Sus scrofa: one gene and its partners. The protein of the gene in region 1 binds, or shares a complex with, the protein of each later gene. Links are inferred from orthologs where the notes say so. Each region holds a gene or a part of one and is shown on either strand. Other genes may lie near its edges.

Region 1 (3,567 bases):
TGTGTAGAGCCGGCCCACGCGTGCAGGAACCAGGGGAGGGGTTTGCGCATGTGGGAAGCCTGACAAAGACCTCGTTTTTCAGCGCGGCCTCCACCAGCTCCCCAAAGGCAAGTGTATGCACAGAAGCACCGTCTCACGCAGTGCTGGACGGTGGCTGAGCCATGTCTCCGAGCTTCATCCGGGCAGAGCCCGGGCTCCTATAAGCCCATGAGGGCTCCATCCGCAGAGCGCCTGCTGCCTGGCTCAGGCCCTCATGGAGGAGGAAGGGAGGGTACCTCAGTGACCTTCTTCTGCAGAGGAGACGGGGTGGGGCTGTTCTCAGTGCTCTCGGCCTCGCTCTCGCTGTTGCTGCCCTCAGTGCTGGTGGCCGTGGCGGTGGCCGCTGTGGTGGCTGCGGTGGCTGCGTTAGTGATGTTGGCCCCGCTGGCGTGGCGCAGCTTCTTCTTCTCGTCGCGGGCTTGGTTCTGATGTTTGTAATGGAGCACAGCTTCGAAGTTCATCACTGCCCACGCGTGCCAGGCCTGGGGGCAGGGGCGAGAGGACAGACAGCGCAGTTGTGGCCATAGTAGGGGCAGGAAGGAGCCCTGGGCATCAAGGGCCTTGAGCATCAGGCCAAAGCTGAGGAAGATCACAGACTGCCCTGTCTTCTCAGCGGTCAGTAGAGCAAATCTTTGCTTCCATGGCACCCTTGAGAACGGGCCATTTTACCAAACCCAGTGCGATTCACTCATTTGGTGGGGCATTGATTCGATCAGGTCTGTGGTGGGTGCCATGGGGCAGGAGCTCATGAAGAGGAGCAGGTGACGGTCCTGGCCTCAGGGACCTTCTAATCGAGTAGGGGACAGGGGCTGGGAAAGCGTCACAGGGAGGAGGGATGGGGGGGCCTGAGCAACCTTCCGTGGGCAGGGGTGGGGGAAGAGGGAGGGCAGCAGTGAGGGTGTCCCGGCAGAGGAAGAGCAGGGACCGAGTGCTGGGCGGGCAAGCACAGGGAACAGTCAGGTGTGACTGAAGCTTAGGGTACAGGGTCCCCAAGAGCAGGGAAGGGCAAGCCTAGCAAAGCGGTAGCCTCAGAGCAGGGACGGGCTGGCACGTGAGGCCAAGGAGGTGCCACTTCATTCTGTAGGAAGCAGAGCTTTTTCAGATGGGTTTGAAGCTGGCTTTGAAAGACTCCTTTGGTGGCTGGGAGTTCCCATCATGGCGCAGCAGAAATGAATCCGACTAGGAACCATGAGGTAGCGGCTTCGATCCCTGGCCTTGCTCAGTGGGTTAAGGATCTGGAGTTGCTGTGAGCTGTGGTGTAGGTCACAGATGCGGTTGGGATCTGCTGTTGCTGTGGCTGTGGCACAGGTTGGCAACTGTAGCTCTGATTCAACTCCTAGCCTGGGAACCTCCATATGCCACGATGCGGCCCTAAAAAGCATAAATAAATAAATAAGAAAGATTCCTTTGGCAGCTGATATAAAACAGATGATTCGAACAGAGGTACAGGGAGAGAGGGTGAAGGTCTTAACCAGGCCAGATGACAGCTGGACAGGGACTGGCTGGGGGCACAGAACCACCAGGGAGGGTTGGGTCTCGGTCACTGTGGGTCCCTTGCTCCTGGCCGGGGCCTGTCAGAGAGCCAGCGCTCAGTGACCGATTGCTGCAAGAAGCCTTTGGGGCTAACTCGGATCGCAGCTCTGAGGTTCTGAGCTGCAGGGACGCTGTGGCACAGCACTGCCTGGTGTACAGGGCACGAGGAAGAGTCAGATTTGGGACCTTATAAGTTTGCAGTGAGAGTAAGACATTAAATAGGCCACTCACAGCTGGACTTTCTGCATCATCAGTAAATTCCTTCGTGTCCCTTGCTAAAAATCTTTCTTTAACATAGGACTGTTCATTTCCCACCTAAGCAGAGTGATCGTAAGTGACCTCTATTTGGTAAATAAGAATTCCACAACGACCGCGGTTTGGTTTTCCCATGTATATATATTTCTTCCTTTATTGGCTGCCCTGTGGCATGTGGAGTTCCTGGGCCAGGGATCGGATTTGAGCCACAGTTGTGACCTATGCTGGCAATTGCGGTAATGCCAGCTCCTTAACCCACTGCGCAGGGACAGGGAGCCAACCCTCATCCGGTGCTCTAGAGACGCCAACGATCTGGTTGCGCCACGGTGGTAACTCCCCCTACCTTTATTTACTTAACAAGTACCTCTTGCATGTGTGCTGTGTGCCAGGCACTGAGCTGGGTCATGGGGAACCGCACAGAAAGGGCCCCGGCCCGTGCTTGGGGCTGCAGCACACCACTGATGGGAGGAAGGCAGCGGAAACCCAACAGGGCCCGTGCTAGGGGAAAACGAAAACTAAAATTTCTGGAGCCGGTGTTTTCTTGTTTTGTTTCTTTCTGAAAAGCTGAATGAAGAGAAGGGATCTGGTTAGGAGATAGTTCTAACCAGAAAAGTTCCCACTAAGCAAGGGTTCACTGGACACAGCTTCCCAGCCCCGGACGGGAGCTGTTCGAAGAGAGGCTAACTATTGCTGCTTTCACAAGATGAGCATTTTTGCGGTGGACTGAAGCACGCTGAAGCCAGGATAGGAACGTAACTGCAGATGCTTTTGGGGTCTGCAGATGCAGGTTTTGATCCCAGAGGGACGGATGACACCCGCCATACTGAGCAGCTATGAACTAACAGGAGGCTGCCCGATAGAAAAAATGAAAAGGAGATGCTTTCACCACAGACGCATACTTCCAAGCACCACCCTCTAGCAGCCAGTCACTTCTTCGTACATTTTCCAGTTCTGTGTATCTTCCTGAGAGATTTCCTGCGACCTAACAGGATGTTACCCAGAGCTTTCCAATGAAAACAGAGAGTTCAGCTCTCAGATGAGGAGCAGGCAGGGATGGAAATCAGAAGGGAGCTGGGAAGGAACAGACGACCCGAGGGAAGATGTTTCAGAGCCTCACCGGGTGTCCAGATGCTCCAGGAAAACAATCGGCTAAGAGTCTACAAGAGAACAGCAGCCCCAGGCCGGCGCCTACGCAGGGGTAATGAGCCCTCCTCAAAGTCTATCCATCTTTCCGCGCCCATCAGACTTGGAAGGGGCCTCTGACACACTGGCTCTGGCCACTCAAAGACGCAAATTCTCGGTATCAGACCAGTGCCCCGCAGCTTTGCGGCAAAGCCCGAACGCACGGGGAGCACAGGCAGGCTGGCAGGTGCTGGGCTTTGAGGGGGCTTCGTGTCTGGGGCGGGAGCACAGCCGGCTCCACCTCTGGGTTACCTTGTACCAGCTACGGTCGTGCTCCGTGGCGGCGCTGTAGTACTGCAGGACTTTAGGGATCGTGCTCTCGTTGATCCCCTGAAGGTTCAGCTGCCACTCTCCAAGTTTCAGGAAACATCTGGAAACAGAGAAACAAGCCCCCATGTTGCTCCTTCCTCAGAAGAGCCCCCCGCCACCCCGCCCCAGGAGAACAAGGAATTATGTCAGGGGAGCACAAAAGCCAGCGTTGCTGATACCTACGCCTTCTCTCAGGAATCAATTGAGGGAACCTCAGAATTCTCAGCCACGGGGGAGACAGGCTTTGGG
Region 2 (3,567 bases), on another chromosome or scaffold:
ATACTACCTACACCTCAATACAATCATAATAATAAAAAAAAGTACCTGATTTTCTTTAGCAGAAGATTCCAAAAAAGCTGCATTCCAAGATTCTGCTAATGCTTTCCCTTCTTCATAACTGATCACCCTAAAGGAAGGAGAACATCTCACTTCAAGGACTCGGCTCTTTATTACATCAAACACCTGTGACTTGACTTGGGACACAGGCTCCACTTTCGCCAGTTTCTTAGGAAGCAGAAGCAAGCTCTGCTCAAGGCTATCCTGCAGGACGTAGGGCAGAGGAGCGGTTCCGTTACCCCTGAGCTGGGGAACAGAGCAGACGCCGCCCCACGGGGTTCCCTGCGCTCCAGCAAGAGCTCTGGAAGTTCGGGGAACAGGACCCGGGCACTCTGGTACCCGTCACAATTGACTCTTTCATGGTCAGCGAGGCTGTGAGCACCCAGAGACGGGCATCTCTGAAAGGGCCACAGCTGAGCCCTGCTGTGCACGGGCTGTGGGCACTCGGCCAGCGGCTCTCTTCCTCCCGAGATGCTCGGCTCCAGGGAATGGGGCCCCTGGCTCCTGGTCCATCGCTCTGAGCCCTAAGCCTGGCACTCTCCGAAACTATCTGTTGAATAAAATGAGTGCTACCATTGTCTTTTTAGAATCTGCGTTATGCAAAATGGTACAAGAATAAGAATCCAAAGACAACTGTCCTATCGTGCTTGCTCTTTTTTAGAGGAAACCCTTTCCAAGGTGCGTGAGATCTTCACTGAAGTTCTGCTTCTGCTCCGCACAAACACCGCCCCATTTCTGAACCCCCAAACACAGATATGCTACCACTAAAAATATTCTTGCTTTAAGAACAATAATTAAAAATGGAACTTCAGTGACTAAGTCATCTTAGACCTGACTTTATAAATCAGTAATTATTTAGAAGCTACATACCTTTCCATATGTAGGTCTTTCTTATTCCCGACCAACATAATAGGTATTCTATTAATACAAGGGGAAAAAAAGCCAAAGGACACAGATCAGTGCCTGATTTGATTGTTCCCGAGATACTGTTCTGAGTACATCTATCAAAAGAGCGAAACCATTATTACTTACTGCACTTTCCCCACCATGTCCAACAATTTGCCATGGATGACTTTAATCACTTCAAAACTATAAAACAAAAAGCATGAAATTAGACATTCATTTTAGTGATGCTTTAAAGCGTTTGTTATGTCATGTGTATAGTGGGAAAAACTGAAGCTGTCAGACTCACTGTTTTCCTATAAACCGAACACAAGCAATTCCTTTACGGTCTCTCACCACTCTTTCCCTCGTGTGTGTATTCGACACTCAGTACCCTTACTGACACTACTCCAAGTGGAGCAGGGGCGATATTCAAATAGGAAAGTCTAGGCTGACTGAATCTCTGAATAAGCATTTGTGGACCGTTCCTAAACGCGAAGGCTCTACGCACACGCGGTCTGTGCTCCACACTGACATGGTGAAAACAGACCCAGAGTAAATCAATTAGTGCGTTTTCCATTTCAATGAGCAGCCAAGCTCAGATGGTGTTCAATCATTACCTATCTAGGCAGCCTGAGGCAAGAGGCAGAGGTTTCCTGCCGTCAGTGTGAGAACACCTTCTGGGATCGTTTTTCCCCGTAACGACCTGCTTGCTCCACAAGACAACCCCTCGAAATCATGCAAGTCCAGCCGTAGGTACCAGCAAGGACAGCGTCATCCCTTGGAGGGCTGATGCTATCTATGCCCAGCAAGCACACTCAGGCAAGCAGGAGAAGGGAGTCTTACCTTTTGATTGATGTAACAGAATACACGAGGATATAACCGTTAATATCTATGGAGTATGTCTGAGGGAAGATGGAATATTCATCCTGCGGAAGAAACACGATCACATGTGAGCAGAGTGTTCACAGAGCATAACCAGTACCCTTTGCCCCAAGTTTCTCACATGTCACCTCATCAGAGAACTCAAAGCAAACAAAAAGTAGATTAATACCTTCTTTAGAAACACAGCCCATACACCCAAGATTGATTAAAGACTGGTGTGGGGGCAATCGCAGGCTTTAAGCCAGTACAGAGAGTGACTCTGGCTAGTCTCAGACTCCGGAGGGAAGGCTACTGTCCGTAGTAGCTCCTGGAGGGACGGAGGGATGACAAGACCACAGGCTCCGTGGTCTTGGACCAAGGGAAAAGCACCATCACATCTCTTACAGGCGACAGTCCAGTGTCTCTTAGCCCTCACAGGAGATGCACGAGTGCTCCGGGTTTGGTCCATCAATCTGTATTTCCTGCACTGAGCCATGAGGGCCTAGCCCCAGTCACTGTTGGGTTGCCACGAGCATTTGAAGAGGAGGAGAGAAGAGAAACAAGACACTAGACTCAGGCAGTAGACTCAGGCTTCTTAGGATCAAACCAACTATTTATTGAGCAACTTTAGGGATTAAAAAGAAAGGTATCTATGATGCAACAGCATATGAGTACCAGTTTTATACAGCTTTATGAAAAACCCCGCTGCTTTAGATACAGAATTATTACAGCATATAGAAATTTCTAATGTCAACTCAGTATTCAAGAGTGCCCCTGTGTGGTACACACATTTCACCCTCAGCTGAAACATAACTGTTAACATACCACACATCCCAAGTGCTATTAGAGAAAAATTACGGCAAAGCCACCACCATCATGTAACCGTCCCTGTTAACTCTGCAATTCCAGTATGGTTATGCTGACTCGGAATCGCTGCCCTAAGTATCTTACAAAAAAAAAAAAAAAAAAAAAAAAAATCAAAGAAAAGCTTTTACTATCAGCTTTGCTATTATACATTATTAACGAGATGACAGCATTTCAACATCACAGATCTTACTACACATGCAAACTAAAACTTTTGGTTTCAGTACTAGTACAACTTTCATTAAGCTGAATTCATTTAAGTGTTGATGATGAAAAACAAAGCCTTAACAGAATGACATATTTTCACCCAGATTAAATAACAAAATTCCAGGAGTTCCAGTCGTGGCTCAGTGGTTAACAAATCCGACTAGGAACCATGAGGTTACGGGTTCGATCCCTGGCCTCACTCAGTGGGTTAAGGATCCGGTGTTGCCGTGAGTTGTGGTGTAGGCTGCAGATGCGGCTCGAATCTGGCGTTGCCATGGCGTAGGCTGGCAGCTCCAGCTCTGATTGGACCCCCGGCCTGGGAACTTCCATATGCTGCAGGTGCAGCCCTAAACAAAACAAAACAAAACAAAACAAAAAAGAGGCACAGTGTAAAATACAACTAGTTAGAAAGTAAAATGGAGGAAAAAGACCCTCAACTGTAACAACAACCAAAAGAACAAAACTCCTAGGAATAAACCTAAGAAAATAAAAGTAGATGATCCATCTGAAGATAATCTTAAAATACGCCCAAGAAAGAAAAGACTTAAATCAGCGGACGAGTGTCCTGCACGCAGTTTCCAGCAAGAATACGCAGAGTCATAGGGGGTATCCATTAATTAATCCTAAATCAATACACACATATAATATAATCCTGATAAAAAGTATGCTTTCTGAGAAAAAAACAGCAATTGC
Region 3 (2,891 bases), on another chromosome or scaffold:
AGAAAACTTTGAAAAGGGGGGAAGTTAAGCTTAGGCAGTACTGACCACAGCAGTTGCAAAATGGAGATGAAAAAAAAAGCTGATGGTCAGCTGCACTGAATCAGGTTGTCATGCTAGGGCCCATTTATTGTTTTACTTAAAACATCAAACGTTTATAACCAGAACACCTATTTAAATGAAGTTATGAGAACCGTTACTGTGTTATGCTTTGTACTGTTAAGTCCTAAAATATTTTTCAGTCATATCCAGAACCCAAAGTATTTTATAAAACATCTTGAAACAAAAGGTTTAGTTGAAAATAACTACAACCTGATTATACCAAGTTGCTGTATCAAACTGAGCTATTTTGCTACTTTTATAACTAACTGGCTTACTGGTAAATTTGTTCTAGTCAGCTATATATGTAATTTCCCACATGTGACAGATCTATCTCTATCCTTTGTGCTTTACGTGGTTGTTATGTTTCAACAATATCTTAAGAGTTTCAGACTGAGTACTTGTTATCTATAAAAATAAATGCTGAAGTTTATCCCTTGATATAAAAGTATAACAGATTTATGATCATTCTAGTTGTTTCCATAATGAATGACGTTAGTTTACAAAAGTGCTTTTTTACATTATATCATTTTGAAGAGTTCACATATTTACACTAAAAATTGTTTAATATGTCTAATTTTTTTATTGAGGAAATAAAAGAAAGATTTAGGGACTTAAGCAGGGACATTACTTTAGAACACAGTGAAATCTTATAACAGAATGCTTTTTTGTATGTGATTTTGCATGTATTTTTTGTAAAATATCATTAGTTTTGATTTTAAGTTCTTGCCTTTAGTGGGATGAAGCACTCCTAACTATGAGTAAAGGAGAAAAGGCTCGACTGGAGATTGAACCAGAATGGGCTTATGGAAAGAAAGGACAGCCTGATGCCAAGTATCCTTTTTCCCTTTATAATTAAAGGAAAAACACTAAGATTACTTGAAGTACCAGGTAGTTAACCTCTTTTTTAATCTTTTTTCCTTCCTATTTAAGTTCTTAATTTTCAAGACCTAAACTGAGATTTAAGTTTCTATCTTTGAAAGGCTACTCTTAATGTTTGAAAGGTTACTTCAAGGAGTTAAGATGTTCAATACAAACAAATGTAGCAAATTGTAGGATTCAAATATGATTCAGGGTAATTTTATGCTACATTATAATTTCAGGTAATTAGTTGGGTACTCAAAGCTTAGAAATGGAACACATGTTCGTTACTAGTTATGAAATGAAGAAGACCACAGGCCCAACATCATAGGGTTAGTATTTGTGATTGTACACTGACAATACTGTTCTAAGAGACCCAACCTGTAAACAAAAGAGCCATGACTCTAATACAACCAAAACAATCCAAAACCTAAGTGGGAAGGTAGTTTTTTGCTGTTGGTTCTATTCTCAGTGGACTAGTTTGGGGGTTGGGGGGCATCCTTTCTAGTCGTATCAGTTAAAATTACTTGTGCGTGTAATAGCCTTCTCAGCCTGTCAAGATCATATTGGCCAACTGTAGCTCCTTCTCTCACTTCAAGTACCTCAAGACCAATAAAATAAAAATCACTCTTTGAACTCAACATGTGAAAATTCACAGCAAATATCAGGTACTATGTTGCATGAACTTTGATTTAATATAACTTATATACCCAGCTAGATTGAAATCACTTTTTTGTTCTTTGAAGTACTAAGTAGCAGTCTTCACCAAGTAGTGGCGAATTTAGGAGTACCAGAGAGGCATCCAAATAGGGAAGATCCAAATTCAAGTTCAACTTACCTAGTCAGCCTGTACTGACAGATTATGACCTACATTCACAAAAATAGTTTTTGGAACCTCTAGGTTAGTATGTATTAGTCTCTGAATCGTCGTAAAGTTACTTACCAATATCCAATGTACATAATTCTAATTTTAGATTAAATTTTATTGGGAGTGAGGCAAGAGGCAGCTTTTATCAAATCTACCTTGACTCCTTCAACAGAATTCCACCAAATGCAAAACTTATTTTTGAAGTGGAATTAGTGGATATTGACTGAGACAGTAAAGAACAGCAACAATAAAACTGACCTTGAGAAAATTTATGTATCTTATTACAGCTGGTTACTATAAGGAAAGAGTCAACTGGAAAATTCAAGAAGTTACAGCTTGTTTACTTGATGCTCAACCTTTAAGAAATGTAATCTGTTATAAATCCTTTAAGTTTAAAATATTTTACTACAGCTGTGTAAAATATTGCCTAAAGAGAACCGGTTTTCCTTTTACCCCGTATGGTAAACTAAAAGGCTCAATAAAAATTTATTCAATCTCTAGATCTGTGTGGTATAAATGTATTAATGTTCTGATTAGGTTAACCAAGGAGTTAAGACTTCATCCAACCAGGGAGTAACAGTAAAATTGTCTGGACAGTGTTGCCAGAGATACTCATCTTAAAATCTTTACGTATTTCCGTATAGGGAAGGCAAAAGCAGAGAGTGAGAAAAAGCGAAAGGTTAAAAGGTCTAAGAAATTTTGTCAAGATAATAGCTAAATTCAAGAAAAATACACTTCAAAACCAACAAACCATTGAAGGTAAATATTAAGTTAGTATTATTAGGTGATCGCCACAAATAAATTCATAACAATTACTAGATGAGTCTTCAGTTTTATTACAAAAATGAAGATGATCAGTTTGATCAAAATGAAAGCTTGCTCACAAGTTTTACATGAATATTCCAAATACAAAGTCTCCTGAAACAACATAGTTTTGATAAGACTTTCATTTTTTAAGGGGATGCAAACATTCCATTTCCTCACTTATAATCTCTATTCCAAGACAGTATTTTAATAGGTGTCTTTTCTGCTGTTATATCCAAATTCATAAGGATAACTGAAACAC

What was found.
Region 2: the proteins of MTOR (region 1) and RHEB are in contact, whole or in part, in a cryo-EM structure (PDB 6BCU), measured with the Homo sapiens proteins. The link is inferred for Sus scrofa from reciprocal best matches to the Homo sapiens genes MTOR and RHEB. Residues at the interface, in NP_001373429.1 of Homo sapiens: Arg62, His69, Glu73, Ala101, Thr102, Ile104, Gly105, Arg106, Asn109, Tyr110, Arg112, Asn113, Phe140, Glu143, Tyr144, Phe147, Glu154, Arg160, Thr969, Gln973, Phe977, Lys980, Glu1010, Phe1011, Gln1014, Met1018, Ser1050, Thr1051, Asn1264, Lys1293; in NP_005605.1 of Homo sapiens: Lys5, Ser6, Arg7, Lys8, Arg15, Pro37, Ile39, Glu40, Thr42, Gln57, Ala62, Asp65, Tyr67, Ile69, Gln72, Thr73, Ser75, Ile76, Asp77, Asn79, Asp105, Met106, Val107, Gly108, Lys109, Val110, Ile112.
Region 3: the proteins of MTOR (region 1) and FKBP3 are in contact, whole or in part, in a crystal structure (PDB 5GPG), measured with the Homo sapiens proteins. The link is inferred for Sus scrofa from reciprocal best matches to the Homo sapiens genes MTOR and FKBP3. Residues at the interface, in NP_001373429.1 of Homo sapiens: Glu2032, Tyr2038, Phe2039, Gly2040, Arg2042, Tyr2088, Val2094, Leu2097, Tyr2105, His2106, Arg2109; in NP_002004.1 of Homo sapiens: Lys160, Pro161, Leu162, Ser163, Lys170, Tyr198, Lys201, Gly202, Gln203, Pro204, Asp205, Ala206.

Annotation. Positions count from the first base shown.
Region 1 is NC_010448.4:71,308,383-71,311,949, forward strand, and holds part of MTOR (serine/threonine-protein kinase mTOR), read right to left. Parts: intron 3,380-3,567; coding exon 3,262-3,379; intron 522-3,261; coding exon 276-521; intron 1-275. UniProt on the Homo sapiens protein: Serine/threonine protein kinase which is a central regulator of cellular metabolism, growth and survival in response to hormones, growth factors, nutrients, energy and stress signals.
Region 2 is NC_010460.4:5,813,938-5,817,504, reverse strand, and holds part of RHEB (GTP-binding protein Rheb), read right to left. Parts: intron 1,869-3,567; coding exon 1,786-1,868; intron 1,147-1,785; coding exon 1,090-1,146; intron 976-1,089; coding exon 928-975; intron 128-927; coding exon 46-127; intron 1-45. UniProt on the Homo sapiens protein: Small GTPase that acts as an allosteric activator of the canonical mTORC1 complex, an evolutionarily conserved central nutrient sensor that stimulates anabolic reactions and macromolecule biosynthesis to promote cellular biomass generation and growth.
Region 3 is NC_010443.5:175,316,992-175,319,882, reverse strand, and holds the end of FKBP3 (peptidyl-prolyl cis-trans isomerase FKBP3), read left to right. Parts: intron 1-832; coding exon 833-930; intron 931-1,997; coding exon 1,998-2,052; 3' UTR 2,053-2,325; downstream 2,326-2,891. UniProt on the Homo sapiens protein: FK506- and rapamycin-binding proteins (FKBPs) constitute a family of receptors for the two immunosuppressants which inhibit T-cell proliferation by arresting two distinct cytoplasmic signal transmission pathways. PPIases accelerate the folding of proteins.